Drosophila melanogaster: one gene and its partners. Changing the gene in region 3 together with the main gene of any one other region gives a genetic interaction. Each region holds a gene or a part of one and is shown on either strand. Other genes may lie near its edges.

Region 1 (9,019 bases), on a different chromosome or scaffold from region 3:
TTGCGGCCCAATACCTTCAGATCCTTGCAGCACTCGAGAATCTCTGGCGTGGTCTTCTTGTGATTGGCAATGCGCTGATCATCGATGCGAATCGAACCGATGCCCTGCAGCGCAGCCAGTGCATTTTCAGCCTTCAGGAACTCTGTGGCAGCCAGATCGTTGCGCAGCGCAATATCCTGGGCCGTATAGCCCTCGGCCTTGATGCGCTTTTGCTTTTCGGGATGCAGCAGGCTGCTCTTCTTTTTGGCATCGAGATCCAGCTCCTCGAACACATACTTCGAGTCCAGGAGACGGGGATCAATGTGATCGGGCGCCAGGTAGCCCTGACAGACGACGAATATCTCGGCGGATTCCTTACGCGACGCACTCGGCTTGGTGGCGTGCACCTTCTTGAACAGCTGCTTGAGCACCCAGAGCAGGGCATTGTAATCCTTGGAGCGGAAAACCTTCGTCACAAACCAGCCGCCGTTGCGCAGAAACTGTGTGCTCAACTTGAGCGCGTTGAGGGTGAGACAGATCTGCTGATAGGCATCGTACAGCCAGTTCCTACCCACATTGGGAGCACCGTCGTGGAGCACAACATCGGCCTTCCACGATTGCAGCTCCTTGGTCAGCGATTGGCGGCACTTCTCGGTGGTGATGTCCTCGACGAGACCAATGCAGCCGGCAATGGGACGGATGGGAAAGAGATCCACGCCGATCACAATGCTGGACACCGGCATATTCTGCTTGGCCACCTGCATCCAGCCACCGGGAGCTGCGCACAAATCCAAACATACTTGCGATTGTTGGAGGAAACCGAATTTGCGATTCAGCTGGATCAATTTGAAGGCGGCACGCGATCGCAGGCCCGTCTCCTTGGCCAACTGGTAGAACTTATCCTTGCGCGTCTTTCCAACTTTCGTCTTCTTGCCCATTGCTGCTGGCTTTTCGTACAATTACGATAAAAATCAAAACGAATTCAAATCAAATGTCGAATTCGTGCACGTGTTGCCAACAGTGTGGCCGTATTGACAATTCAAAGTATTCCGGGCAGTGCCAGCATGCGCGTCAAGGTAGCGGCGATTGAGTGCTAGATAAGTGGAACGTGTTCTTAAATTGTGGAATGCATTGGGGCAGCGGGTGAATTTTTTTAAAATTTCTACTTTATTATTTATAAATTTAAAATTGGTCGATCAAAGTGATTTATATAAATTACTACACACTTTTGGGAATAACTGTAAGATGTGGGGTGAAGTACATTAAGCCGTAATGAACCATAATAAAAATAAAATACGCCTAAAATTAAAATTTTTTGTCTGTTTTACAGCTGCCAAAAATCTAAAAAATTAAAATTCTTCTGTTTTTATTGACCAACCCCACATAAAAGAATGATTTCTATCTGTGAGCCAGATAGTTTTAATTAAAGAAGAGCAAGTGTATCTACAGATGCTCCATCTCTTTCTATTACGTGTATAGATTATCTGCAAAGGATAACGCCCTTTTCTTTAATACTCCCAAAAAACCATTAATTAATACTTCGTTTTGATTTATTAAGTTATTTGTGTAAAGTTGTGTATTTATATATTTTTCTATTGTTATCCAAAATGTTTAATGCAGTACCTTACTTACTGAAATACATTGAATGGTTTCATTTGACCGTAATGTGAGCGAAAGTCTGTCAAAGACATATGTTATTTATCATTTAAAATTATAATCGTTTTGTATACTTTCAAATAATCTGTTTTCATATCCGTTTTAATTGGGGGCAAAGAGTAGTGTACACTTCTTACTAAGCGAAAGACGAATTTGTTCTTGATTTTATAATGCAATTAAGTTGGGAAGTTCGTTTTTATAGCAAGAAATCCATTAAGATTTAATGTTTAATACTTTTTAGGATGTAAGAAACAAACAATTGTTTTGAGACTTTTAAAATACACGTTAATAAATCTATTAAATGTTATAAGCTGTTAAATAATACAATTCGTCCTTCGATAGAAATGTGACATTTTGTTTATCCAAGACTTTTCTTTTCCGTTTTTACATTCAAAATATTTTTGTAATTAGTTGACGTGTGTGCGGATAACAACAACATGTATTATTTATTTATTTGATATACATCGTATACATGGTTTAGTTTCGTATTTTCGTATTGTTCAAGTTTTTAAAAATTTCGTACAGTTTTAAATTCAGTAAACACTATTTTGCTGTCGTATACGTACTGTAGCCAAAAAAGAATCGTCATAGTATGATTTACATGCAATATTTGTATATACCCGCAAATGTAGGTAAATGTATTAAAATATATTTATACACAGCTGCGGTCAAAATAATAGCTCTGAAACTTGTGCCTCCTCCACTCGTTGTGAAAATATTCGTATACTACCAGTTTAATCGAGTTTCTTTGCATATGTTTTCGATGGTTAATATATAAGCTAAATGGGGCTATGCAGAAAAAGTCACTGCATTGGTTATTAACCCTTTTTAAAGAACGTTGATCAAATTATAATCGCTTAAGCGAATTATTACGTATTTATGTATTTTACAGTTGACATGCCACAAACAACATGCTTTCCATTTCAATTGATTGTGAATTAAAAAAAAAAAGCGAGCAAACTTTTCGTTTTATGTTCGGGCAAAAAATATTCTTAATTAGGCCATTATTCAATTGTCGACTTCTTAATACATCCTGCATGCATATATTGTTAAAAAGCAGGAGACTGTGTCAATTAAAAAACCATATCAGCTTATTTACTTTCTTTTTTGATTTAAGCAGGCAAAGTTTTTTCTGCCAACCAAAATGTAGCAAGCACAAACTAACTATTACGTATTTATATTCTACTCACGTATTTATGTATATCTATCGGAACTATATCTAAATTGATGGGAATTTTAAACTTATCTGACTCGAAACCAAAGGACAGAAAGCTGAATTTAAAAATCCCTTAAGAATTGTTGTTCTTGGCGAAGAAGCAAATATAAGCCGCATAATTATGAAAAAACTGCATGTTAGATTTTTCAGCGCAGTTATTTTGACCGCAACTGTATGAGGGATTCTCCGGACTGGGAGTGGTTCACAGCCCTGATCCTCAGGGGCTTAGATCCTGATGGAGATTTGGGTCGTAGCCGCCCATGCTGTTGTCGTACGGTTGCTGCTGGTCGTATCCGCCGGAGCCCATTGGATAGCCCATGGAATCCTGTGGCGGAGCGGGTGACATCATGGGTGTGGTTGTCCCGCTGGGTGGACCGGCCATGGAATACGGTGAAGCACCAGCCGCCTTCTTGGCCGCATACAAATTGGCCTCCTCCTGTGCCTTACCAATGTTCTTCTTATAGCGAATACGCTTGTTGCCAAACCAATTCGATACTTGCGAGACCTGCATGAGTGTGTTTTGTTTTATTTACTATGCTGCAATCGGATTTGCATTGTTGATTAATGTGCCCTACACTACTTACCGTGATGCCACACTTTCGTGCCAACTCCTCTTTGGCCTCTTCGGATGGATATGGGTTGCTCAAGTGACTGTAGAAGTACTCGTTGAGAATCTCGGATGCCTGCTTGCTGAAATTGCGGCGTTTGCGGCGTGCGTCCAGGAAACGCGAACGAAGTATCATTACAGCCTCGCAGGTCGACTGCTTCAGCTGCATTTGTATGGAACTAAACTTTTTGTGGATGATCTGCACCATTCGCTCGATTTCCTTTGGTGTAATGGGTCTGAAATACGATTATATTACCCAAATGATGGCCATCATTTTGCATTTATCTATATACACCAACCTCGTGCGACTCTGTTCGCGTAGAAGATTCATGACATGCGTGGTGAACTCGTTGCATGCCTGCTCGTACTTCTCCAATTCCTGGTGATATATTTGACGGATCTGTGCCAGCTTGGCACGGTAGTCGGAATGCTCAATGGCATTGTCAGCACCATCGATGGACAGGGAACCGCCCTGGCTGGCCGCAGCCGCAGAGGCAGCCGCTGCTCCGCCACCGCCCTTCTCGGGTCCGGCCACGCCCTCGGCAATCAGCATGTTGTCCAAGCGCATCAGTTGCGGATCTGGGGGCTCCTCCTCCTGGGTGTTGCGAATCGAGAGGACTGTAATAGTTTTAACGAAGAAGACGAATGATAAAAATAATTTCATACTGAACGTTTTAAGACTATTACGTTAAGAATTGTGTTTGATTTAGTAAATCAATTGTATCACAAGCAAATCACAAAATCCATAATACCATTTCAACTTATTTGATGGTCTTGAATGAGAGATAAATATAGGGTTTTAAGCTTACCGGTCTTCTCCTTGATTTCGCAAAGTACAGAGAAAAGTGCCGGCTTCATTCGGTGACAGTTTAGTGTATGTTTTCTGGCCTGGGCCTCGTCAAGTGATTGCTCCGAGATACTCATTATCTGTTGCAATATCTCGCCGATGTCCTTCTGCTTGCGCACCTCGTTCTCGCTGCCGGCATTCTGGCCATCATCCTGGCCAGACAAGCCGTATCCTTGCGGAGCCATCATGCCGCCGGTGTGGGCCAACATGCGATTGGGGTCCTCCATGGTGCCGCAACACAAAGCAAGCTACAAATCCAAGTTTCTGTAATAATATTAAACATCAAATATTAAAATCATGCAAGAAAAAAGGAAATAACCCAATATTTTTTCTACCAATTCGATTTTTTAGTGTTTTATTATTTAATAAATATTTCTTTTTTATATAAAAACATAAGTTTGAAACCCTTAAAAATGTAGTAAAAACTTGAGTTAATGTATACTTAACAAACTGAAAACAAATACACCAATTAAATCTTTTGCTACAAAATTCATCATATCTATAGAAGAGATACCAACAAAGCCATTAAACCCACAAACCCCACCACAAAATAATCCCCCAGACATTTGAGCAAAAGTGAAAAGACATTTTGGTATCCTATTGGAAATGCAATAATCTCCACCTGTCGCAATCTCATGAAGCGGCATATCTTTTTGGGGGTGAAAAAGTATCTCAGATGCGTAGCACGAAGCTGGGCAGTTACCCGAACTATTTATGAACTTATTTCTATTTATTTATTGCTGTGTACCACAGGTAACGTTACATTTTACACATGTACAGATAAATGACGCCGAGTGCATCACATACATACACTTGTACGTATGTTTAGTGCCAGCAGAATGGTAAAAAAAAATCAACCTGCCAAGTTTATATTTACATACACACAAGGTTATGGTTAAGCATTAATTTGAATGCAGTTTGAAAACATTTTGTTGGTTTTACATGTACATTCTTGAGATTTTATTACGTCAGAAAAGATTTAAACTGTTTATAACAAGGTGTATGTACATATCCACACATCGATATATGTGCATGTAAGTATTGAGAAGCGTCCACTTGAAATTCCATACTCACGGTTTTTTATTTATCGTGATTGCCTCGTATACTTATTTGCCGTACAAGTCGTATTTTGTGTTATTTTCACTAAAAATTAGTGACACATTACTTGCAGTTGTAAATAACCGCAAGTATATAATATTATTATCTTTTTTGGACAACAATGAAACGAAAGTACGTTCTGTATACGCAGAAAAATAAATCGATATGAAAAAGTTTTCCAGTACTGTAAGAATATCGATAAGTATTCCATAAAATGCAATTTATATTTGCTAGTGAAAACGTGGACAATCGATATCTTACCCGTAGTTACATTCTAGTGCTTACTCACTGCGAGTTGGGTATCGATACTATTTAAAATGTGGCTCTTGAAATAATATTTTAAACATTTTTTCAATAAAATAAATAAGATATCCTCTACAAAAAATGTGGTATATTGGTATTGGAATATAGAAGAAATACAGATGATCCACTCTTATAACATATATTTTAAAAGGCTGATTGGAACTACGTTTAATTATATAACACATATATTTGTTTCTATTTTAGTCAACTTCATTTTTAAAAATGGTCTTTCGTTTTTAAGCGTATTATTACATATCTTCATTTTAATAAATACCATATAAATTATATAAAAGTGAAAGTGTGAAAAGGCTAAAATTCATTCACATCATATTCGGCCAATCGATAGTGATAGGCTGCAGCCCACTAAAGTCGTTATGGTCATATTGTGCTGTGACGTTTAGTCGTATGTTCGTGGACTTCGGAGAAAATCTTTTCTTAAACGGTTAATTCAGTAAAATTATTAATTTACTTTCATTGTGATCAGAAACGCTTTATAGAAAACTTGTGGAAAAGGTATTGAAAAGTGATTGTGACCAAAACGAACACAACCTCAAAAGTTTAAATGGCGTGGCTTTCATCCATATGTAAATGCATACGTGCATGAAAATGTACATTTATATATATCTATACTAAATAATTCAGTTTTCCACAATTTTTGTAACGTTGGGTCTAGTGTATATCTGCATAAAGCTACTTTACTTCGTGCTTACACAAAAATCACGCTTCAACAGTGTTTTTTATGGCCATTATACAAAAGTACTGAATACATAAGTAATAGGAAAAGATATATATGTAAAATATATATATACTTGAATGTTAAATTAACCTTTTTCCTTCGAAATTATAAGTAAATTTGAGCTAAACTAAAGTAATGTAAGAAATACTTAGTACGGAGTGGTATACATATGTTCGTTCATGCGCATTCCTAATTTTATTTTCTTTCCCTTTGCAGAATAGTTGAGAGACCAAAAATTTCAATTTTTGCGATACATAAGCGCGTTAAAAGCGTTACTAATATTTTTCAATATTAGCACGGAATCAGAGCTATCAAAAAAAAAAAAAGTTATCGATTTCCCGTGGCAGTGCGATTTGTTTGATTTTGATTTATCCATATATATTTTCCAAGTCAATTTGCGATTGACTTCACAAAGAATACCCGAGAGTACGATATCTTTGTCTAATTTGCGAACTGGCATTGCGCACCCCAAAGGAGGGGAAACAAAATCTTATATGACTTTTGAAAGATACGGTGGTAAGTAATAGTTAATCATCAACAACCCATTGAATCGATTTGTATCTAAGACACATATTTATCCCGACCACTGTATAATGTCTTACTACTAACCAAGATCCGGATCCATCCAAGGTTACTTTAACATTAAAAATAAGCTTAAAAATAAGCAGCCAACACATTTCCTTCTCCCACAACCGAAAAAAAAGCAAGGATACAATGGTTTCTGAAAAAGGAATTCCAGAAACTTCTATTGCGATACAAGTAAAAGGCAAAAAGAAGTTATCCAGCGAATTCAACTGCATTCTCTTATTTTATTTGTGTGGCTTATTATGCTTTATCTTCTGAATTATGGCATATGTTTATATAAGATATAAACCTATTAAGATTTAGACTTCGTATAAATAAATGCATAGTTTCAGATCAGACTTCACTTCATTTCGTGATATTTCTAAAGCCATCTGTTCTATAGAAAACCGATAATCGGGCAATAAATAATGTCTGCGATTCGTTTTATAATTTAGTAACACACCCATTCACTTGAAAAGTGCTTTGACAAGCTTTATTCGTTGAATTTCGTTATATTCCAATAAATAATATTATTATTATTAATATTACCCAAGAATCTCGTATAAAACATAATAAAAGGGCAGACCTTGAGTAACATAAAAGAATTACTCATAGTTAGCTAATAATTGGCTGTTGGGAACAAGAATCACAATCGTACTGAAATGTTTGTCACATTCGTCAATTTAGTTGGGAAAACACACGAATATATTCAAGGGGGGGTCCTAACGAAATTCTCAGTGTCATTTTCCGGTTGCAAAAGTTAATATCTAAGATACAACAAAACAATAAAATAGTTTATACTCGCTCGACCTCTTAACCCATTTGCTGAATGTTTTTCTTTTAAAATTGACCCTGCTTTAAGACCCAGCAGTTCCATAAGTTTTTTTTTGGCTCTCAGCAACACGAAATAGTGCAAATCAGTGTTATGTTTTTAAATGATTCCAATTACTTTTGCTTTGACGTTTCAAGCAACATCAAATATACAATAAGGTCCCGTACAAATTCCAATTCGAATGCAGTTTTATTGGCTTCCAACGTGTGCGTTAAATGCAATTACATTTCGTTTTATATTTGTATTTTTCAGAAACACCAGCAAAAAAAACCACACTTCTCATTGAGAAAAAACGGAGTAAAGGGTTCGAGCTGTGCATGAATTCAAAAGGGCGAACCAAAAATCACCGGTAAGCACAAATCACTGATGACCAGACCATTAAGTATTGCTGATTCAAGTCGTACGACGTTTTGTTGCAATGCACACACTCGGGGTTTCTACGATAAAAAAATCTGGTATTCAAATTAAATTCGCTACTGTTTAATACGAGGGGCCTTTTTTACCTTGGCTCACATATGTGGCTCCAAATGCATAATACTGTAATACCCGATAAGAATTGATTATATTTGCAAGCAAAGGGAAAGTGGTGCTAAATTGCATTAAATTATACGCTGTAGAAACAGCACTTCGGTGGGTTTTTTTTTAAAGAGAACTTAGCATAATTAAGTAATAAGCATTGCATATTCGACTCGATTAACCAAATCTATTTCATATTTGCCTTCGCAGGACTTCGAGTAACAGACATCGGAAGTTACAGCCATTCAGGTACACATGAGCCTGCTCCTTCTCCATTTTTTAAAGACTTAAACTGGTAAATTTACAATATAAATAAATATATATATGTATATATATATAAATATACAAATATATATATAGATATATATGTATATATATATGTATATATAATTATTCATATGAATTCGGAAAAAAATAGAATAGCTGAATACCTACCACGGCGAAAATAAACAAAATCTTCAGCAAAATAAAAGCAAAGCCATAACCTTGCAAAAAAAAAAGAAGAAAAAAACAACTTACTCTCAAGCAATTCTGGCCGATTCTTCAAATATATTCAGTACACCCGTTGTTTGATTAGAGCACAATTAATTCGCCGTTCCGGAAGGACACCAATTCCTGCTTATTCTGGATACATTTGTTAAGTAAGCAGCAGCGGCAACTACTCA
Region 2 (7,648 bases), on a different chromosome or scaffold from region 3:
ACGCCACCAGCTCCTGCTCCAGGTCCTCCGGGTACTGAAACGGAATTGATCATCCCACCGCCGCCGCCGCCAGGCTGCTGCTTAAGATGATTAACCATGCCGCCCATGCCGCCGCCAACGCTGTTGGTCAGCACCATGTTTCCCAGATTGCCCTGCGCAATGGTGTTCATGCCTGCGAAAGATATAACATAATTTGGGTTTTCAGATAATTGTTGCTATATTCATTTGGTTGCATTGGCTAGGATAACTTGGATATCCAATTACAAGGAAGAACGATTAATCACCTGGTATGGCGTTCATGCCATTGTTGCCATTATTCGATATTGACATGGGCATTGAGTTGACCATACCCATCTGAGTGCCCACCACCTGCTGCATGCCGCCCTGGTTGGGTGACTGCAGGTTGGGCGACTTGCTGCCCAGCTGCTGCATGCCGGGCACCACCATGGCGCCCTTCTGGCCCTGCTGCTGCTGCTGGAGTAGGTGCTGCAGTTGCTGGTGTTGCATTTGACTGATTCTGTTGCCCGCTCCTGAGCCGTTGCCACTGCCGTCGTCGCCACCCGTTCCGGATCCGTTGCCGCCGCCGGCTCCGTTCATCTGGGAAGGCACAACGCCGACGCCAACAACACCGCCGACACCCACATTCACTCCAACACCGACTCCGCCTGTGCCAGAGCCGGGTCCTTGGGCTGCCGGCTTGTTGGGTCCGCCACCGGGATTTGGGCCGGATGTGGGATTTGTGGTTACACCGGAGGCGCCGCCACCTCCATTGCCACCGCCTGCTCCGCCGGTCAGCTGATCCGACCAGCCACTATTCGAGGACACCAGCTCATCGGGCAGGTTCTCCTCCAGAAAGTAAGAGATATCCGCTGGAGGAAGATACAACCAAATTGTTTTTAGCAAGGAATTTTCTTAAAAAAAAAAATAGTTGGATAGAATTAATTGCTTTTTCAATTCCGTAAGGAATTTATTAAAAATTATGAAATAACTGGAGAATACAAGTTTGATAAACTAAAACTAAAAGTTATTAACAAAAAAAAAAAAAAAATGAGAAATCGAATATTCTGGTTTCGGTACTCACTTGGATCCATTTTAACCCGCTTTTGGGGCGGTTCGTCTAAGTGATCGGCCATCATATAGAGTTAGTTTGATTCTTTCGATTCGGAAAAAAACAGAAACGCAGACGAAAAACGTTCGAAAAATCTGAGTAGTATTGTTTCTATTAGTTTATAAAGTTTTTCTGATTTTTCGCTTTTTTTTTTCACTAACTCTCCAATGATCCGTCTATGTTGGAGTTCGAGTGTGTTCTGATATTTTCGTTATTGGAACTTGTCAAATCTTCTTTCAGAAATTATTTGTCGCCTAGCACTTTGACAATTGTTGCACAGGTTGTTTGTTTGGTTAAGTGTTTAGTGTTTTAAGTTGTAGATTTCTTGATTAGTTTGGACACTTTGCAACACACGCACGCACAATACACAACACACAAAGAGGCACTCAAAAGGCGTGGCTGGCGAGGATTGGGATTTGGTTTTGGTATTGGTGTTTTGGGATCTTGTAATCGATGATGTTGGCGATGCTTGCACTTAATGATGATATTAACGCTGCTGCTCCGCTTTTTATTGCTAAGGATGTGGCTTCTGTTGTTGTTCTTGTTGCAGTTGTTGTTGTTGATTTAGATAATTCCTTTGCTAATTGCCGCTGCAACGACAGCAACAACGTAGCCGGCGCTATCGTCACCGCAACGTCAACGGATGGAGCTGACCACCACCACGTCGTCGGACCTGTGCCCGCTGATCCTTCTGCTCCCACACCCACTTCCACTCCTTCGCCTTTTCCCTCTCCTTCTGCCGCTTCCGCTGATCCTGGAGGATCGCGCAGCCACCACCGCCTTCTCGTTGCGGCGCCGTTGAGATCGTTGTCGCCGCCACTGGCGCTTTGGCCAGCAGACAACTTTTCCACCGCCTGGTGCTCCTCCTGCTCCTGCTCCTCTTGATGCTTGTTCTTATCCTGCGTCCGCTTGACCAGTACCTCTTCTTCTTCTTCGACTTCGGCCCTGCGCTTTTTTAGCTGCAATTTGTTTTTGCTGCTGCTGCTGATGCTGCTGTCGTTGTTGTTGTGGTTACTGCTGCTGCTGCTGCTGCCGTCGTTGTTCTCGTTGTTGCAATTGTTGTTTGTCGAACAGCAGCAGACACACGCGTGCATTTTGTGTTGTTGGGCCCCAAAAACACCAAAAGTTGACCTTGGCTGGGCGGCTCTTGTTATTGTTTGTTTGTTTGTTTGTCTGTTGTTGCCTGCCTGCCTCCACTGAGCGAAAAAGAACGGTTCTTGGTTTGGCTCTCTCCTCTTTCTCTTCCTTTTCTTTCCGCCTTTTTCTCCGCTATCTTACATATTTTATGTGATTTGTTTTTGGCGGCTTTTTGTTACACAGGAATATATATATATATATATAGATATTTTGACCATATATTATATATGCTTGTGTTTAATTTTGATTGCACTTGATTCGGTTATCGTTTACAATTAATAAGGAAAAAAAAGCAATTCACATTGTTGGCTGTTGTTGGGTTTGTTGTGTTTCGGTTTGTTTTTGTTGCTGGCGCGCTGCTGTTGTTTTTGTCGATGCTGATGTTGTTGCTGCTGCTGCTGCTGCCGACGTTTGCCGCTCTAGCATTACACATTAACTGCAAACGCACAAGAAGAATAATACACAGCCTATTAGATTATGTTGAATGGACGAACACAAATCGAAAGCAATATTTATTTATTTTCTTCTTTCTTTTTTGTAATTTAGCCGCGCGCGAGTGGACAGCGAAACCGAGGGGAAAATGGAAACAAAACGAAACTAAAATGCGACGAGACGTGCCGAAGACGGGGCGAAAAGGGAAGAACAACGAGAACAGTACCGAGAATTCTCTCGGTCTCGTTGCACTCATCTGTGTGCCGCTTGACGACCACTCACTCTCTCTCTCTCTCTTGTCTGTTCTTGCCTCGCAATTTTATTCGCCAATACTACCAGCGCTGTACTCGTTATTTTACTCGCAGACGTGTGTGTTGGCCTCTCGCTCTTTTGGCGCACACCACGAAAATGAAAATAATAATTTCATTTTGCCGCCAGTCCCCTAAAAAATATGGAAAACAAGTGCCGTCGTTGGCAAAAATATACTTTGAAACATGCTTAACATTTTTATGACAAATACATTTTTGGAAAAAAAATTTCACACCTTTACAGGTAATAAAAGTCAGAGCACTGCTTAAAAAAATTAATTGAAGTATCAGCCAGTTGCGGCTGTAGTCTATAGTCTAGTTTATAAATTAAATGGCCGAAAAAGTGGCCGTATTTTGGTTTTGCTTCCGCATTCGAGCGGCCATCATATGAAATTCAATTTGTTGGGGCGGCGAGTGGCGAGTGGGGTGCGAGCGGGATGACACTAGAGTGCAGTGGGGCTGGCTGACAAAAGCTTTCACACACTCACGCACGCACACATTTGGGGTTTGGGGCGCGCGTACAGAATTCTCACAGCGACGCCAACGCCGTTTTCACCACACAGTTACACACACGCACACTTCGAAAACAGCGAGTTCGTGCAAGAGCGAGCACGAGTCCGAGAGAGAAAGCATGCGATGGTATTAGTGCCAAGCGGCATTAGTGTGCAATATACACACGACGGTAAACGGCAACGAGTGCGAGGAGCATTGGAAAAAGAAAGAAAAACAGACGACAGAAATATATTCCATTTTTTTTCTGTGTTCGTTCGTCGTTTTCGTTTCGTTTTCTTCTTCACGTCGTTTCAAAGTTTCTATTGCAGAAATTTTTTGTGTTGTCTCCGCCAGAGCGTTTTTCATTTTTCCCGGCCCACACAAAAATCGCAAAAATATTTGGCGAAAATACGAAATTCAAGAAAATGCCGTAGAAAATTTGAAAAAAATTTCAGCCCGATTTTGGCCGGTATTTTTATTTTTCCACCGTCACCGATTGCCACGCACTAAATTTCTAACTATACTTTGCAATTTTGCCGAATTTCGGTTTTATACCATATATTTTTCACATTTTCCGGCGATTTTATAAAAATCCCACAAACTTTTTCGCAACACTAAAACAAAAAAATTTCAGTCCGCTTGTGTTAATCGTTCTCCGAGCCAAAAATGTTTTTGCTTCAGTGTGACCGCGGCTAGCCGTTCAAATACACCACCGAGCTCGGAAATACACTAAAATTGACTGTTTAACACAACACGCGAGTGGGCTCTCGTCGCTCTCGCGTGCTGTTTGGCCGCTGTTGTCGTACTGTTACGACCCGAAATCCATATAAATGCCTTTGCTAGCAGTCTGTTGGCCCCGTAACAGCTGTTAACCGCTGTCGGAACACTGTTTTGCTCTAGTCCCTCGCTCTCTGCGTCGGCGAGACCGCTCACGCCATGCGCTCCCAAAGAGCCGATACGCACACACGCGCACACATATGGCGCGCCAGATAACGAAGCAGCGAGTCCAGAGATGACCACATGATGACGGTGACACATTCGCCGATACTTTTATGCGGTCACTTGAAAATGTGCACAAAGAAGTTTTGTAAGAAACATCATTGGTTGGAGACCAACATCATTATGAAATGAATATTCTTTGCAGCGTTTTTGAGATCAAATAGGTATTCCAAAAAGATGTTTAATATGAATTAATAAATCAACATCTTGAATGAGTGCAGTTGTTTAGAATTTTTTGTTTAAAAAAGTATTTGTAGACATTAATTTTGAAAACGTTTGTCCATCGTAAAAATCTAGTTTAAAGTTCTTCAAAGGAAAAACGATATTTACAGAGGATCACGTAAGTAATCGAGTCATTGGATTTGCGCATCTCTGGTGGGTTCAGTGTTAGCGTGTTTTCCGTTCGCTCTTGCCGTGAGAGACAAAGAGAACGTGTGAGAGAGAGGCAAGCCGAAAAATCAGCCGCCGAAGGATACACTATCGTCGTCCTTGTCCGACGAACCGGTGGTCATGCAAACAACGCACAGAACAAATTAATTTTCAAATTGTTCAATAAATGTCCCACTTGCTTCTGTTGTTCCCCCCTTTCCGCTAGCGGAATTTTTTATATTCTTTTGGGGGCGCTCTTTCGTTGACTTTTCGAGCACTTTTTCGATTTTCGCGCGCTGTCGAACGGCAGCGTATTTATTTACAATTTTTTTTGTTAGCGGCCGCCGTTGTTTGTTGCAGATACACAGCGCACACATATAAGCTTGCACACTGATGCACACACACCGACACGTTGTCACCGAAATGAACGGGACGGCCATATGACTGGCTGGCGCTCGGTATGTGGGTGCAAGCGAGATACCGCGATCAAGACTCGAACGAGACGGGTCAGCGAGTGATACCGATTCTCTCTCTTTTGCGATTGGGAATAATGCCCGACTTTTTACACTACATGCGTTGGATCTGGTTATTTAATTATGCCATTTTTCTCAGTATATCGGCAATTGGTTGCATTAATTTTGCCGCAAAGTAAGGAACACAAACCGATAGTTAAGATCCAACGTCCCTGCTGCGCCTCGCGTGCACAATTTGCGCCAATTTCCCCCCTTTTCCAGTTTTTTTCAACCCAGCACCGCTCGTCTCTTCCTCTTCTTAACGTTAGCATTCGTACGAGGAACAGTGCTGTCATTGTGGCCGCTGTGTAGCTAAAAAGCGTAATTATTCATTATCTAGCTATCTTTTCGGATATTATTGTCATTTGCCTTTAATCTTGTGTATTTATATGGATGAAACGTGCTATAATAACAATGCAGAATGAAGAACTGAAGAGTTTCAAAACCTAAAAATAATTGGAATATAAAGTTTGGTTTTACAATTTGATAAAACTCTATTGTAAGTGGAGCGTAACATAGGGTAGAAAACAGTGCAAATCAAAGTACCTAAATGGAATACAAATTTTAGTTGTACAATTGAGTAAAATGAGCAAAGCGCCTATTTTGGATAATATTTGCTGTTTACAAGGGGAACATATTCATAATTTTCAGGTTTAGGTTACGCATATGTAGGCGTAAAGAAATAGCTATATTTGTAGAAGTGCATATGCACTTTATAAAAAATTATCCTACATTAACGTATTTTATTTGCTTTAAAACCTATCTGAGATATTCCAATAAGGTAAGTGCAGTAATACAATGTAAATAATTGCAAATAATGTTGTAACTAAATACGTAAACAATAATGTAGAAGTCCGGCTGAAAGCCCCAGCAGCTATAGCCGATATCTATATGATTTAAACTCTTGTCTGCAACGTTCTAATAAATAAATAAAATGCAAAATATAACCTATTGAGACAATACATTTATTTTATTTTTTTATATCATCAATCATCTACTGATTTCTTTCGGTGTATCGCCTAATCCATCTGTGAAATAGAAATGGCGCCACCTAGGTTAAGAAAAGATAAACAGTTGCCTTTAGTTGCATGACTTCCCGCTGGATGGTGTTCAAAAAGCTATTACATAAGGGTGGGTGTCATGGCTATTTGCTCTTTGGGTTATTGTATTCGCTGTTTAAAACTGCGCACACAAATAATATTTTAGATTTAATGTAAGACAATTTGTATCAATAAAAAAAAAACAAAGTGAGCTTCGGTATTTCGATTTAAATTTGTTTAACAAAGTAGGCATTGAACATAATTTCAATCACAAGACAACCGACCCACAAGCAAAACCCTCATTTCTACTTTGACTCCCAAAGAAAACACACAACGTAAAAATTATCGAATAACAAATACGTTTTGGAAAATTTAGAATAAAACATGAAAGTACGAAAGTCAAACCAGGAAAAGCCAAAAAAAAACAAAATAAGAAAAACAATACATAGATCATTTAAAGCTAAAAATAGGCTAGCTAATAAAGTGCCTCGAGCACGCACTTTAATGCTTATGGTGGAGAATGAGATAATGTATAATAAAAATATTAATGAACAATTACCTGCACGGGTTATTGACGATTCAGATCCGCCGAAAAGCAATACACCAGAATCCGAAACGTAATGTAAGTTGTGCATAGATTTAAAACTAAACTTGACATTCATAAACAAATTTATTTATTTTTTTTTTTTTTTGCTCGTTTCCATTATTTCTGTGTTTTTTAGTAAGCAACTGAGCTCCGTTTATTAGATATTAATTAAATATTTTTATTTTTCACAGGAATGGGTCGATTTCCCTAACCACCCAGCCAATATTGCCATAAAAAGAATTCATTAGACATTAGTTGATCCTTGTTTCCAAAATTCAAAAATTGCTGCATTGCGTTTAATGCTCTCATTGGTAAGCCAAGTGCGCTCCGCTATGTTAGATATTAAATAAATATTTGTATTTCCACCGACTAAAGCAAAGGACAATGGAGCAGCGGCAGGATCTAAAGGACACTAAAGAAAAAAGAACAGCGAACGCTCAATTTGGAATCGAACCAATTAGTTGTCCTTTGTGCTGGCACCTTTGTCGTCTGGATTTCGCAAATATCGTTTTTTTTTTCCCATGGACCATGGCCCATTTGCCACTGTTTTTTCGTTGGCCATTGCGTGTCCTGTTTCGGAGTAGAGGATCCTTTTCGTTGGTTTTCTCTACACACTTTTGGAACCGTGGATAGAGCGCAGCGGGGCGTGCGGTGCAAAGATCAGA
Region 3 (7,553 bases):
GTATCTGAATCCGAATCTGTATCTGTATCTGCGGCTTGCACTTTTTTTGCCCGTCTCGGAGGCTTTTCCGCAAGTCATCGGGTAACTGTGACTCTCAGGCAAACTCTGCCTCATGGTGGAAACTTAATCGTGGACTTGCCATTGAAATTCAGGTACAAGGCTGTTCACGTTCCACTGTTCATTGAAAGCGACTATACCGTGTCTATAGCTCAGTGTCTCCCCCTCTATAAACACGAAACTTGCACGAGTTTTTAGCCACCTCATCTTGAGCCGCCTTCGTGCATGAAATCAATATTGTTCAGTCAAGTCTTCGCACAGAATTTATTCCGTTCAGTTTTGGCATTAGCATGTGGTCAACAAAATAAGTTTATGGTCTAATTTCATTAAAGTATTGTGTAACAACATATTTAAACATAACATTACCAGCGCAGTCTAAGAAACCATAAAACAGTTCGTGGACTTTACCAATATATGTTTACTTTCCAGTTGTTGCATAAATTTGTAATTGTATTTGGATTTGTCCAATGTAATACACTTACTTAAGGCGATATAAATTATCTAATCAAATAGATTCGATTATTAATATAAGCGCTCTGTTTATTTTCGTTCATCACATCAAACTTAAGAGTTTCAACTGCAACCTGACTGCAGCCCGATTCCATTAATTTTTCACAACCTTTCAACACTTTTAATGACACCTATTAAATAATCCACAAATTGCTCTCCAAATGCGATTCACACCTAGCTCTGCTTCTCTCATTCGACGGAGGCACAAGTTTGAAACAAGTTTTAGGCCGCCGCAGGGCCAAAGCAAATTAAATTCGGCAAGAGACCACACGCCACATCAGCGGCATTCATAGTTTGGGCCTTAGTTTCGGGCAAGTGCTAAGCGAGTGTAAGTCATTTGTAAAGGGAATAACATGACACCGGCGGGAACCCGGGGTCACGGGTCTGCGTTTTGGGGCACAACGAGACGGAGAAGGAGACGGATGCCAAGACGCTGGATAAGATGATGCACTGGCGATAATCAAGCCCCGTCTTGTTCTCGTGGTCGTGCGCTCATGATAAATGTCACAACATTAACATCAAATGACACGGACCATCCGTCACTCAGTCGGAGTTATACCCTACCGATGGAGGGGCGGGGGCTTGGAATCGGAATCCGAGCATGAGCCCGAAGATAAGTTGGTATGGTGTACCTTGCGACTGTGTCAAATATGCCCCCGAGCGATCGTTTCCCTGTCTCCCTGCGCGCCGCACAACTTCGATATTTCGTTTTTGGGTTTGATTTTTGATGCTGACACTAAGAAAAACTTTCCACAATAAAGAAAATCAAATGCGGGCTTTGTTGTTTTATTTTAAATGTCCCAATATTAGAAATAGCATCTTAGAAACCGGTACGAACACAATAAATGTGTAATGGTATATATTAATAATATAGTTAAGCCATTGCTTTTATATGACCCTCGGTTCCTACTGTAAAGCCAAATTTCATCATGTTAACATGTTTAATTGGATTATTAAAAATTAGAAATTATTTAAAAACCCTTTAGTTTGAAGCCAACTTTGAATTATGTACTATATTTTTTTCAGTGAAACGACAAATTTCCACAGTCAAGTAAATCGGGAGTGGGTACTGGGAACCCGATGAACCGATGAGGCATTTGACAATGAGCGAGTCGGAGTGGCGTTAAGCGAAACGTTATAATTACCCATTTGGGTCAAGGTTATGGTCGAACTGGAGTATCCCTGTGTACTGTGCTGTGCTAATTAAAAAGCAATCTATCAGTAGCTTCAGACCTCCATCCGATCCTCTGGGAAACGCATTCGTCACCTACTTGCCGCCCCGTGGCATCCCTATTTTGGTTTTATTAAAACAATAAGCGACGACAATCTACAGTTGGCCGTCAGATGTTGTTGGTAACACACTCGAAACATGGCTGAATGAATTCCCCGTTTGGGGGGTGACAATTAATTAGTAATTATTTCTGCCAGGTCAACTCAACTGAGCCCATTCAGTCGGTCTCTGGATCTGGTGAATGAAACCAGGCAAGAAACCTGTTCTCCATGTCCAAGTTGCATTCAGTTTTTGTGCCAAGAATGAGTCGAAAAAGCTTTCATTGTAGGCCTTAGAAAATTACTGTGTATAATTCAGAGAGCCTGGAAATTATTTTCTGGGGGCTAAGCATATGAATGGATACATACAATTTTTCAGAAGAACATTGAAATGAGAATGAGTGTTCGTTAAAATATCTTCGAGGTTTAATTTAACGATTGTTTCTTCCTAGACAAAAATGTTTCAATTGCCTAAAAAAAAAAACTACATATATATGCAGCTCTATACTACATTCCCAGGATGACTTTTTATGATGTATCAATTGGCACCGTACCATTCAGCAGTCCAAGTTGATTTTATGTCAGTTCAAGTGCTGAAAGAACCTCTGAAGAGGCCTAATAACCAGGAGCCTCTTAAAGTGCTGATTGCAGCGAGTGGGACTCACTTAACGTTATGTGCATTATATTATATTATATAGGAGTAGTATGTACAGGAACTTGTCGTTTGGTGAACACGGTTCGCCCCTCGACGCAAGGCGTGGCACTCTTGATTTTGATTAATGAGCTTGGAGTCGCAGTTTTCTTTTTTAAGTTACTCGGTTGGCTGGTGTCTTTGGCTTTTAGATTGTTTATTTTCATTTTGGGTTTCGCCCAGGAACGAACATTACAGGGGCCTGTCAGTGAATCAAGTGGGTGTTGGCAGCTAAGTAATTTAATTAGCATACCCCGAAAAATGGGACACGACATGGGCGCGAAGGGGAGAGCAGGAGATAAAGAGAAACTTTCAACTTACCAACTCCCGCCACATGGATCTTCTTCATCCAGGGGTAGATGATCCGTTCGCCATCGGTCGTCTCCGCCATCAGATCCTCATCGCTGTCTGAGTCCCCGAGGTCGTCGTCGTTGTCGTTGGAGCCCAGCTCGTCTGGAGATCGATCCAGCATGAGCCGATCCTCCTCTGACATATCGTCCTAAACAAGTCAATCAAGGCCTCGATTACGCATTCTCTCTTGGCACATCTGCTGCAAGTACTTACGTTTTCGGATCCCATATCATCACACCGCAATCGCATCCCTAGCTCTTGCAGTTGTTGTCCGGCAGGTACAGCTTCTTCTATGCGTTTTTCTAGTTTTAGGCCTGCATGGAATGGAAGTCACTTTAGTTTGGTACAGTGTAATTAGAGTAGCTAAAATCGAATTGAAGGGCTTATATATGTACAAAATATTAGATCTTTTTTAATATTACTATGCGGCATAACAATCTTGTGGGCTTATTTTAAGTGTTTTTCTCAATCTGCTCCCTAGACATTTTAAAAGGTTTGGATATACGAATGTAAAATGACTTTGCTATGGAATTGATATATAAATAAAAAAAATAATTATATAAATATAAATATAAATATATATTTAATATAAGGATCGATTGATAATCTTCAGATTATTGAAATAGTACTAAGTATATCCTCCTATCAAATCTCAACGGATTCCAAGAGACAACAGAAATTCTATTAGTATGGACTCACCTAATTCCTGCAGTCCCAGCGCCGTGTTCGTCGGTGGTTCCGTGGAGCTGCACTGAAGGGGCAGATCCATCATCTGGGAGTGCGGCGAGTGTCCTTGGGAGTGGGTGCTGCCCACACTTCCGTTCGCCGTCCCATAACCCCCACCGTACCCGCCGTAATATCCATTTGCCGATCCACCCACTGCGCCACCTCCGAGCACTGCGCCACTTCCTCCGCCACCACCGCCATTGCTCGTATTTGGAACGTTTGCCGCCGGTCCGTATCCGTTCGTGGGATCGGAGTGCACCGCTCCTGCGGATATGAATTCGGGGGCGTGGTGGACGTAATAGCCGAGGCTCTGGTGCGGATGGGCGTGTGGATGCGAGTGCGGATGTGAGGGCGGAGTGGCATTGGCATAATTGGAACTGTAACCGCCGGCGGATGCCTGGTGGTGTCCAGATATTGCACTGTTGCTATGGTGGTGCGGTAGTGAGTGGGTGTGCGAATGGGAGTGGCTGTGCGGATTGTGGTGATGCGCCATATAGTCACTGACCATGTCCGCCGGGTGCATGGAATGCGGATGACCAGTCATCCCACCTGCTCCACCACCTCCGACAGACCCAACACCTGCACCACCGCCGACGGCACCACTCATATGACCCGTAGATGCGGTCATCGAATAGTGTCCATTGTAGTGATGATAGTCATCGGCCAACGGCGGAAACTTTGGGTCCAAGCCATTGCCCATGGACATGGGACTCTGGACATGATGTGGTGCATGCGGATAACCCATGAGAAAAGAGCTCATGACGGAAGGTCTGTTGGATCGGGGTTCACCGGATGCGTTTTCCTGGTTATTACTTTGTTATTCGATTTTTTCTTGGGCACTATCACTTGGATTGCACATACTCCGAACCTTTTGCTTTTAGTACATTAACTATTGATTAAAGGCGCTGCTTTTGCAAGTAGTAATTACTTTTAAGATTGTGTTGGTTAAAATAAATTTCGTATTCTTTTTAATATTTTTAACTAAACAAAGGGGTTAGAAGGCTCCCGTTGTCTTCATAATTTTCACTTTTATTGTTTTGATTATACTTTGTTTGCACTTTTTTGTCACTTTTAAAAGCCGTGGGGCCTTGGAATTCTGAGAAACTTGATTATGGTGTTATTTTCCGGTTATAAAAAACGTTTTTACAACGAATTTCAATCCCACACAGGGAGAAAAGTCGGACGTTTCGGTCTTACGAGTGCGCTGCGAACACGAACCGTCCCATTCGAGCCGATTTTTTGTTATGCTCGCTGGCGATAACTCTCCGTGCGAGCGAACCTGTTTCGCCACTCTTCGCTCTTGTTTGCTTGTGCTCTCGCTCGCTCTCTCTCACCGCCATTGCCATCAAAACGGGTTTTCACTGCCGAAGCAATCGAAGGACGGCCCACACACGCGCACAAATAAAGCCATTCATATGTAGCAGCCATGTCTGTTCACCTTTTCTCACCCTTCGCCTCGTACGCCATTTTCCACCACTGACCATAGTTCTCTCGCAAGCGCGACTGAGAGGGAGCATTGTGGTTAAAGCGGGATGGCCAGATCTTTGGTCACACCCATTTTGAGTTGCGTGAACAGTCAAGGCATACAATATTGAACTAGTTCAAAGAAGTATTCTTAAAAAAAAAAAATAAAAAGCCATTAATTAAAACTTTAAAATATAATTTTACTTTTACTGTACAGTGTATATATTTTTTTTATATTTTAGTAACGTCTTATTTATTTTTTTACGAAATAAGCTTATTTTACTTTCCAAGGATTAATAAATTGAAATGACAGTAAATCGAATAGAAAATTAAAAACGCAATTGTCTACATAGAGAAATAGGATTTCTGAATTGATTCAATGTTATATTTATATCTCAAACAGCACTGTTTAGCTCATTAGCACACCTACTTACCTACCCTCGACTGTTCTTCCCTCAGACTTACTATTTTGGTTGTACTTTTGCTGTGAGTGTGCTGGTACCTTCAAAGTCATGGCGCACGCTCGAAAATTGAACTCGACGAAAAAGTTGTCTGGACCCAAGAAACTCCGCCCATTTTCAGAAGGCTTTCATCGATCCCGGACAAGACGTAAGTGTGGATATGGAGCACACCATTTATTTTCCACTTTCATAAATGGATTCTGTAGGAACGATGCAGAGAACGCGTGGGTAACAACAGTATTGATCGTAAAGAGGGGACGGTACTATTGGATGCCGATTTCTTCGTCTGAATTCAGCTACCGAGTTGGAGAGTCCGAGCTGACTTGCAACAATTTCAATTGAACAACCAACGAATATCACTTTGTTCTCCTCTGTGATTATTGTTGTGGTCTGGCTGGGGCTAAGGCTGTTATTATTGTTGTCATTACTACCGTGATTTTTCCTCCGATGTTGTTGTTATGGCGATGACGGGCACATATTCAAATGGAGCAAGCGAAACGTGGAAAATCAATAGAATGATTGTTGTATAATGCACATCGAGAAGGTTGGATATTTAATGCTTTAATATTGTTTTTAGTAAATATTTAGACTGATTCATAACAATCCATAATGTGGGTAAAAGAAAATATGGCTTGTACTTTTAAATTCGTACTTCGAGCAATGCGGAATATTAACAATTTATTTATAGGTAATATCATACAAACTTTTGATTATTTCGCTTAATGAATTCAACAGATTTTAAATTTTTGTGATATATATTTTAATAAGTTTGAAATCTGCTGACCCTATAGAGCCAGCTGCCCTAACTCACTTCAAATAAAAGTTAAATTGAGCATAAATTCGTGTCACACTTCTGGAGTGTGTTTCTGAAAGTGACTCTGGCTAATTGCCGAATAATTGGACCTCCGGTAAACCCACCAAAAATATCTTAACCCCCTTACAATCAGGTCCACGTGCTGTGCCACCTCCTTCACCAGTTCCATATGTGAGCGGTATAGGGGCATGGCCACTAATTAATCGACTTCCAACTGATTCGATTTTGATGGTCACCATCAAAACGTCATTAGGCTAGTTAAGTTTATAAAACTTAAATTTAGTCTGTGGTCCGTCGGCCAGACTCATAGGAGTAAATGTTGGTTTAGGTCTTCATTCCACGTTAAAGTGTTCGAATTAATTGACCAGCTAGTGTTAATTAATGGAAGTTCCATGTTTACTAATTTTACTGTGTGATTCATTACGCATATTTGTTTACAAATAACTTTGGTCCAAATCCAAAAATATAATTGCTTTTAAATTACATTATTATATTTCTCGAAAATTTAAAATCAGAAAACTGTTATTTAATTTCTTATGTATTTAAAATTTTTAAAGATAGTACCAAATTTAGATTCCATGCTTAGCATATTACACTCCTGAATGGCTGCTGCTTGAGGACCTTTAAAACTCAGTTGCATTAGCGGCTGCTACATCGAATTTTCTCAGTTCTGACGTAGCTCCTTAGGTGGATGGAAGCACGATGTGGGAGGTTTGGGAAAGTCCCAGCTTGCGCAGGGATGAGGGCTCCCTGAGCCAGCAGGGAGGATGGGTTGTGGTACAACGAGGATGGCTCGGTTGGGGGACAGTGGGTGTTTGTTGCTATTGCTTGCTCTTTGTCCGGGGCATTTGAGTCCAAATCCCAATTCAGATCCAGCAATCAGTTGCGACTGTCAGGCGGCGGCAGAAGGAAGTTCACTTGCTGCACGAGGCAACACACTGAAACGTGATTAATGATGTCGCATCCACATCCACTGAGGCACATTACGACCACCAATGCGAATACATATAGAGAGCCACCATGCTTTGAGTATGGACTTTCTTTGTTTTCAGCTCGCTTCTTTAAGCCAGCCATCAAAACTTTGTGATATAAAATTAAAAAGCACTCTACGGCGATCGAATAATGTTATGCAAAATGGGTGGTATCCACAACAACTGATAAGTTCACTAATATTTGCAATTATGTAAATGCTAATCATTGGAATGGCACA
Region 4 (7,425 bases), 110 kb from region 3:
GCACAAAACCGAAAGCCCAGGAAAGAAAACGAAACAAAAAAAAAATGGCACAAATATCGATTTACCAAAAATTACAAAGGAAACCCGAAAAGTACCGCCAAGTTTTGTTCTTGGAGCGGTGACAGTCGGCGCCGGGCAATCCATCAATTTGGTTGCAGTGCCAATTACGCCAGTTACTCGTCACGTCACGTCTCGAAAACCGGCGGACAACGGACAGTGGACAGCGGCCAACGGACACCGAAAACCGGACAGATACGGGCTGCCGTGGGGAGACACCAGAGCTGTGTAGCAAGAATCGTATCGAACGGCGGCACTCCAAGTTCCAGAAGTTTTGGAGCTGTAGCTGCGGCGCCCCCATCAACTTGGCGTCAGCTTGTGGTCAGTTTTCCACTATTCCGATCGGCTGTAGAGGCTTGTCGCCTCTCGGGGCTGTTGGGAACGTCATCTAGCCCATATATCTTACTTCCGACGCTTTCATGGCGCTAAACAGACGTTGATGGCGCGACTTACAAATCCCCCGAAACCTATAAGGTGTGCGACGGGCACTTGACTGGACATTTATATGCACTAACGAGTGGTGTGGAAATAGCTTTTATGGTTAATCGATTGTGATATGATGAACTTTACAGATATACATACATTTATATTGGGATTTGAGTGGATCATAATTGATCAAAGCTCTATCAGATCATGATCAGAAATAATACAATTTTAAGGGTAATCAAATCAATGTGATTTACGAACGGTAATGCGTATATATATATATATATTTACATATATTACAATACTCAATACTCAATGTACTCAATATGTATGAGTACATGTTTTAATTTTATTTTTGAGCTTTTAATTATGTATGTATGTTTATCCTGGAATATTTTTAAATATTGTATGTTTATGTTATAGACATAGGAGTGTTGATCTCCCGCGCCTACAAAAAATACTAGAAAATATAGTTGCTTCGAATTGTCAATTCAAATGGGAATTCAAATAAACAATAGAAACCTCTATCGTAAGATATCGATACATATTACAAGACTAGCAAGCAAATTTAAAATATCAAAAAAGTTGGCGTGGGAGATTTTAAAACATTTAAAAAACAAATTTGAGCTGCGTCTTCGTCTCTCGGAAACGCCTCCTTCTGCCTGTTCAATCATTTACAACGTATCTAGTATAAAACCTTTATACTCTACGAGTAACGTGTATGAAAACAACTAATTAATAATTTGTACTATTACAAAGAGTTTTACATTTTAAAAAGTCATTAATTTACCATAAACATAATGCTCTCATTACAATGGATTTACACAAAAGTATCGAAAAATGTCTTTATACTACTTCAGTCTTAACGTAATTTTATGATAAAAGAAAAAGCAGAATATATATAACTTGTTTATTGCAGCAATATGTTCGTGTAAGAGTAAATACATAGAGAAAGTAAATTAACGGCTTCTGCCGTATGTACATAAATATAAATACTTAAACTTTAATGTTAAAGGCAATAACATCTTTGAGTTCTCAATTACGATTGTTAAACAACTTCATTACGACAAGAAAGATTGGCTGAGGGAGGAAGTATTGCATAACACCCCAGGAACTGTCAAAAATGATCCCAATCCTAGCTGAATGCTAAAACAAGGATACCTAAGCCTTGCATGTATTTCGCTTTAGCCATGTGAGATAGTTTCAGGCTTGGAATCGGGATTGGGCCGTGGTATGTTAGTTGTATATGTACATACATATGTATGTGATTACTGAAAGATACTCGCACACATCCTGTTACTATTAATTGCTGCTGTCCGAAAATATAACAAATCACCTTGGAGCGTTGGGCAGGACCGCCCGAAAGGACGAAACGAATGGCCACTCCAGCCGACCTCCCCCTCCGAAATTCCCCGTGCGAGTGTAGAGACAAAAACTTGTGAAAATGTCAATCAAGTTGAACAAAAAACGAAAAATTCCCAATCCGAGAGTGGAAGGAGCGAACCTCGAAGTTTTCCAGACAGCCAAAGATGATGCATTGTGCGTGAAAGGTGCATGAAGATATCTGACGGTTGTATCTCTATCCCTGCCAAGTGACAGACCCATACACCGGATAACTCTTAGGGGGCGCCTACGAATTGCATCCCACTGAGTCAGAGTCAAGGTCCGGAGATAATGTCAGGATTCGGGGTCTGTCGGGGTCGGGGAAGTCGTTCGACGACGATTTAAATTCAACAGTGCTGCCATAGATGAGCTGTCATATGTGCAAATGACGATTGACAGCTGCCACAGTCAGCATCCGTTTGCAGCTCCTCCTGGTCGCAACCCCGGTCCGCTCCCAAGCCGAAAACCCATTCCGAGTGCCCGGTTCGCATTTCCAATCCCATAGCAAGCTCCTCTTCTTTACCTGTCCGTCAATTCATTTGGGAATTTCGAGGTGCTAAAACGTGCCAAAACCGCAAAACAAACACACAACATTGGGTTTCCAGTTAAAACAAGACGTCGACATGAGCATGGTCAGGGGCGTAACTTTCAATACTATCAGCAGGCGGCAGGGGTGGATTAACTTGGACACGAACTGGGCCCAAAACATGTGCGAAAAGATTTTCGGGGCGAAGAGTTGTCTACTATTTAGTATTAATAAATACACATTTTATAAAGAGAATTTAATTACACTTGAGAAACCATTCAGATACTTTTAACAGAGAGTACTTTAAATAATACCTATATAAGGAATTAAAAACAATAATAACAACAACAATTTTTTGGATTAGAGCATAGTTTTGAATTAGTTTAAATTAGAAATAAATGGTCTTTATATTTCCCGACTTCCATATATGGCGAAGAAGACTTCGAGTAAAACTATTATGATGATAAGAAATAGTAAGTTTTTCTAATTGGCATACGGGAAGTGAATTGTCAATTGGATGTTTCAAAACATTTTAAGTAAGATCTAGAACAAGTTTCTTTAAAATGCTTAATGTTCTTAGGTGGACCGACGATCTATATAAGTGTTTCCCATTAATAAGGATCATTTTAGAGATCTGATCATCCCCAGCCAGTTCCACACCAGCTCATTGCATAATTTCAAGTTCCTTCATAGAACTCCCATCTTGAGTAGCCGTCAATCCGCTCCTGCCATGGCGACTAGCAAAAAAAAAACGAGCAAACAGGGAACGAGAAAATCTAAATGGAAACGGCAACTGCCAAAAACCGGTAGTTGAAATACGGGTATTTGTATATACGTATGACTAACCCCCGAACCACTGATAAGGGCAGTCATCCGAAGAATCCCAGGGAGCGAGCGAGACGGCAGTCGCAACACGTATGTAGCACACACGAGAGGAAGCGGGACCACAGGCAGTCTGCAGAGGGGCGTGGCCAAGACCAGCGGTTGTGCGGTCTGAAAGAAACCGGGTTCGGGCCAGTAATCAGTCACGACTTGGTAAGCGCGCAGGCAGCACGTCGTCGTCGTCATCGCCAACGGGAGTCGTGTTTTTCGGTTCGATACAGATAAAACCCACGTCGATAGCCCTCGACCGTCGCGTAATATTCTTAGAAAGCAAACAGCTAAAGAACTATTTCAAGAACTGTGTGGCAAGTGAAGGGTAGTTAGTGATACACCGGTTATATCGGAGTGGCGAGAAAGTGTGGTTCCGGCTGGACAATATGATGGACGTAAGCAGCATGTACGGCAACCACCCGCACCACCACCATCCACATGCCAATGCCTACGACGGCTACAGCACCACCACCGCGTCGGCGGCCAACGCCAGCAGCTACTTTGCTCCGCAGCAACACCAGCCCCACCTGCAGCTGCAGCAGCAGCAACAGCATCAGCATTTGCAGCAGCCCCAGCAGCACCTCACCTACAATGGCTACGAGAGCAGCTCCCCAGGCAACTACTATCCGCAGCAGCAGGCGCAGCTGACACCACCGCCCACCAGCAGCCACCAGGTGGTGCAGCAGCACCAGCAACAGCAGCAGGCGCAGCAGCAACAGCTCTATCCGCATTCGCATCTCTTTAGTCCCAGTGCGGCGGAGTATGGCATCACCACGAGTACGACCACGGGAAATCCGGGCACGCCGCTCCATCCTAGTAGCCACTCTCCGGCGGACTCCTACTACGAAAGTGACTCGGTGCACTCGTACTACGCTACCGCCGCAGTGGCCACAGTTGCTCCACCCAGCAATAGCTCACCTATTACCGCCGCCAATGCAAGTGCCACCAGCAACACACAACAACAGCAGCAACAGGCAGCAATCATCAGCTCCGAGAACGGGATGATGTACACCAACCTGGACTGCATGTATCCCACGGCCCAGGCTCAGGCTCCGGTTCACGGATATGCCGGCCAGATCGAGGAGAAATACGCCGCCGTCCTGCACGCCAGCTATGCACCCGGAATGGTGCTGGAGGATCAGGATCCAATGATGCAGCAGGCCACGCAGTCGCAGATGTGGCACCACCAGCAACATCTGGCAGGCAGCTATGCCCTAGATGCCATGGACTCGCTAGGAATGCACGCCCACATGCATCACGGCCTGCCCCACGGACACCTGGGCAACTTGGCCAACAATCCGCATCAGCAACAGCCACAAGTCCAGCAGCAACAGCAGCAGCCGCACCAGCAACCGCAACATCCGCAGAACCAATCCCCAGCGGCACACCAGCAGCACCACCAGAACTCCGTGTCGCCCAACGGTGGAATGAATCGCCAGCAGCGCGGGGGAGTGATCTCCCCGGGTAGCTCCACTTCCTCCTCCACCTCCGCCTCGAATGGAGCACATCCTGCCAGCACGCAATCAAAGTCGCCAAATCATTCCAGCAGCATCCCCACCTACAAGTGGATGCAACTCAAGAGGAATGTTCCAAAGCCTCAAGGTAAGTTGAGCTAGAAAGTAAACTCGGAATAGGGTTTCAATGGTTGAAACAGGCTCAAATTACTACGTCCCGAATGATTTTATTCCGTTTTTCTTTCCTTAAATAATCGAATTTTTATTCCCTTCTTTAAGTATTTTAGAATTATATAATAAATAAGGTAAATATAATAGAATACTGACACAAAAAAATGCTCCTACTGATATATTCTCTAAATAAATCAGATGAATATATAGGGTTCGGTTACTTTAAAAAATTGAATTCTCTTTATTTATTTTTAACACTGATCAAGTAGTCGTTTGATATTAAATACCTAATTAAATGCTAATTGAAACTATTGCAAATTTATATTCGTGGACATTTCGAATGACGCGAGTTGTAGAGGCGTATAGTGAAAAGGTCTTGTTGCAAATTTAGAACCAATAGATTAACCCAAGTCGTTTTATCAAGCGCTACAATTGCCTTCTTTCCTTGTGAATGGATACAAATACATTTAATTTGTGCAATTTTTATTCAAGTTGTTCGCACATTCGCAATGTCTGCATTCTAAGGGCAACTAAACGCGTCTCATTAGGCAAAGTCTCTGGCAATTAAGAAACCGCATTCTTAGCTAATTGCCATATTTTAACTCTTATAGTTCTCTAAACTCGTATAGTTCGCTCAATAGATCACATATAGCTTACGGAATGTATTAAGTTAATCGGACAGTTATTATGGAAAGAAATACACACACTTCTATACATACGTATGGTGATTTTTTTAAGAAAAGCATAAGAAAGAACCTCAAGTAAATACCAAAAAGCGTAAAACGATGACTTTCAAAACTGATTGACAGGCCAAGATACAAGAATCAGTCAACCAGTAAAACCAGAAGAAGATGAATAAAACTGTGAAAGAAATGACGTCGAACGAGCAGATTAAACAATATTATGAGTACATTTATAAGTTAGAGAACTTGGCCATCAAGAATAGATTGATCATAAGTATGAACAATTAGCACTGCAGAAATATTAGCAAACATAAAACAAGTGGATGCGTCAGACAAAATGTCAAGAAAGACGTCCAACCGAGGGCATGTCACCTAAAAATATTCCTGTCTCTTCAAATGCCAAAGATTTCGCCCACCTCTGCCCTCGGCTCTACAGCCCCCGGCTACAGAATCTCGATTCTCCCCGACCTCCACGCCCCTTTCCGCCTCTCATAACTGTCGCCGTTCTCCTGGACTCTCCTCCTTTGGCACATTTCTTGCATATTTCAGATAATTTTGTCAATGCCTGTGCAGAGTCAGTCAGGTTGTTACTTGTCACATTGGCGAGTGGAGTTTTGTATCTCGGAATTAGCCAGCTAAGAAAATGTATTCGCTTTGATAAAAAAGATCAGAAAAGTCCATATTGTATGCGATAAATAAAACGTCGTCGATTATCCAAAAGAAGCAGCTGCCACTGAAAAAACGAGTATTTTTATTGATACTTCGTGAATTGCATAAAATTCGAGCGTAAGCCTTTAATTGCTTTTCAAAGAGTTTGAGGTCAGTCGAATAAATAAATAAATAGCAACTAACTGAATGGGGGGGCACAGGTGTTTATGGCTCACCCTGAAATTTGTAATATACGTAATTGTTGGAAAAGGTTGTAGAACAAAGTTGAGGTCGAGTTTTGAATGGTTTAATTTCTTGGGTTAAATATTTCTATTAATACAAAACTATACCAAAGAAAATTATATAATTTAAAGCATGTGACCATGCTGAAAGGTTTTTCCAATAAAACAAATTGTATTTATTTGTGAAGGGATTAGCTCCGCATTTGTTACCCACATTGCCATACTCCAGCCATCCTTCCAAACCTGTTGACCGAATTCATTTGGCCTGTGGGCCTCTTCTGGTAATGCACTTAACCTGTTCATGAATCGAGTTGCACAACTGACGCTGATCGCTGATATCGGAGCATCGAGCCTCGGACCACTTACAGTTCAAACGTTAATCCCCCGGCTACACCAATAATCATACAAATATTTGCTTATTAATGCTGAAAAGTGTCATTTACATGCATCGTTTTCAATTAAACGACGCCACAGAGGCCCGAGTCGAACGCAACCGATCCGAGATCCCAGATTCCAGATCCCAGATCGCCGATCCAAAATCCCCACGCGCCGCACCCAAAACCGAACCTTACAGCTCGAGGCCCAAATACGAGCCCAAAAGCCCCTCAGATGACGCGTGCAAGTGGAACCAGGCGCTTAGATGGGGAGCAGGGTGGGGCAGAGAGGTGTAGATTGCACAGAAAGAAAACTAATTGGTTGAAAATATCAATTGTTGTTTCAAAAATAGGGTATTACTCGCCCACATATTGATTAACTATCATGGTAGCCATCCTTAGGTTTATTTTGTATCAACAAAAAGCTATTTTATAAGATTATTCTAGCTGGGAAATTTTATAATTTTAATTTTAAGACCCAAGTAGAAGTTCTTTAGATTCGATTTCGAATATGGTTTTTCTCAATGTGTTCTAGGGGCGACCGCAAGTCAAACAAACAATTAAAGCGGCTGGGAGATGCAGCTCGAA

The links.
Region 1: of Dfd (region 3) and exd, changing one enhances a phenotype caused by changing the other (phenotypic enhancement), as found in Drosophila melanogaster (2 studies listed by BioGRID).
Region 2: of Dfd (region 3) and nej, changing one enhances a phenotype caused by changing the other (phenotypic enhancement), as found in Drosophila melanogaster (one study listed by BioGRID).
Region 4: of Dfd (region 3) and lab, changing one suppresses a phenotype caused by changing the other (phenotypic suppression), as found in Drosophila melanogaster (one study listed by BioGRID).

What each region holds. Positions count from the first base shown.
Region 1 is NC_004354.4:15,989,022-15,998,040, reverse strand, and holds exd (extradenticle), read right to left. Parts: upstream 5,342-9,019; 5' UTR 5,117-5,341; intron 5,106-5,116; exon of another isoform or gene 4,928-5,105; intron 4,570-4,927; 5' UTR 4,533-4,569; coding exon 4,268-4,532; intron 4,077-4,267; coding exon 3,758-4,076; intron 3,695-3,757; coding exon 3,436-3,694; intron 3,357-3,435; coding exon 3,069-3,356; 3' UTR 1,532-3,068; downstream 1-1,531. Other genes in the region: CG8939 (uncharacterized protein), read right to left, coding at 1-917; CG46312 (uncharacterized protein), read left to right, coding at 6,937-6,958, 8,091-8,187, 8,565-8,613. UniProt on the Drosophila melanogaster protein: Transcription factor which acts with the selector homeodomain proteins altering the regulation of downstream target genes such as wingless (wg), teashirt (tsh) and decapentaplegic (dpp), thus affecting segmental identity.
Region 2 is NC_004354.4:9,681,471-9,689,118, forward strand, and holds the start of nej (nejire), read right to left. Parts: upstream 4,198-7,648; 5' UTR 4,080-4,197; exon of another isoform or gene 4,033-4,079; intron 2,682-4,032; 5' UTR 1,137-2,681; coding exon 1,082-1,136; intron 870-1,081; coding exon 285-869; intron 173-284; coding exon 1-172.
Region 3 is NT_033777.3:6,789,136-6,796,688, reverse strand, and holds the start of Dfd (deformed), read right to left. Parts: upstream 4,854-7,553; 5' UTR 4,365-4,853; coding exon 3,578-4,364; intron 3,193-3,577; coding exon 3,092-3,192; intron 3,027-3,091; coding exon 2,849-3,026; intron 1-2,848. UniProt on the Drosophila melanogaster protein: Sequence-specific transcription factor which is part of a developmental regulatory system that provides cells with specific positional identities on the anterior-posterior axis. Homeotic protein controlling Drosophila head development.
Region 4 is NT_033777.3:6,674,573-6,681,997, reverse strand, and holds the start of lab (labial), read left to right. Parts: upstream 1-3,407; 5' UTR 3,408-3,651; coding exon 3,652-4,867; intron 4,868-7,425. UniProt on the Drosophila melanogaster protein: Sequence-specific transcription factor which is part of a developmental regulatory system that provides cells with specific positional identities on the anterior-posterior axis. Required for proper head development.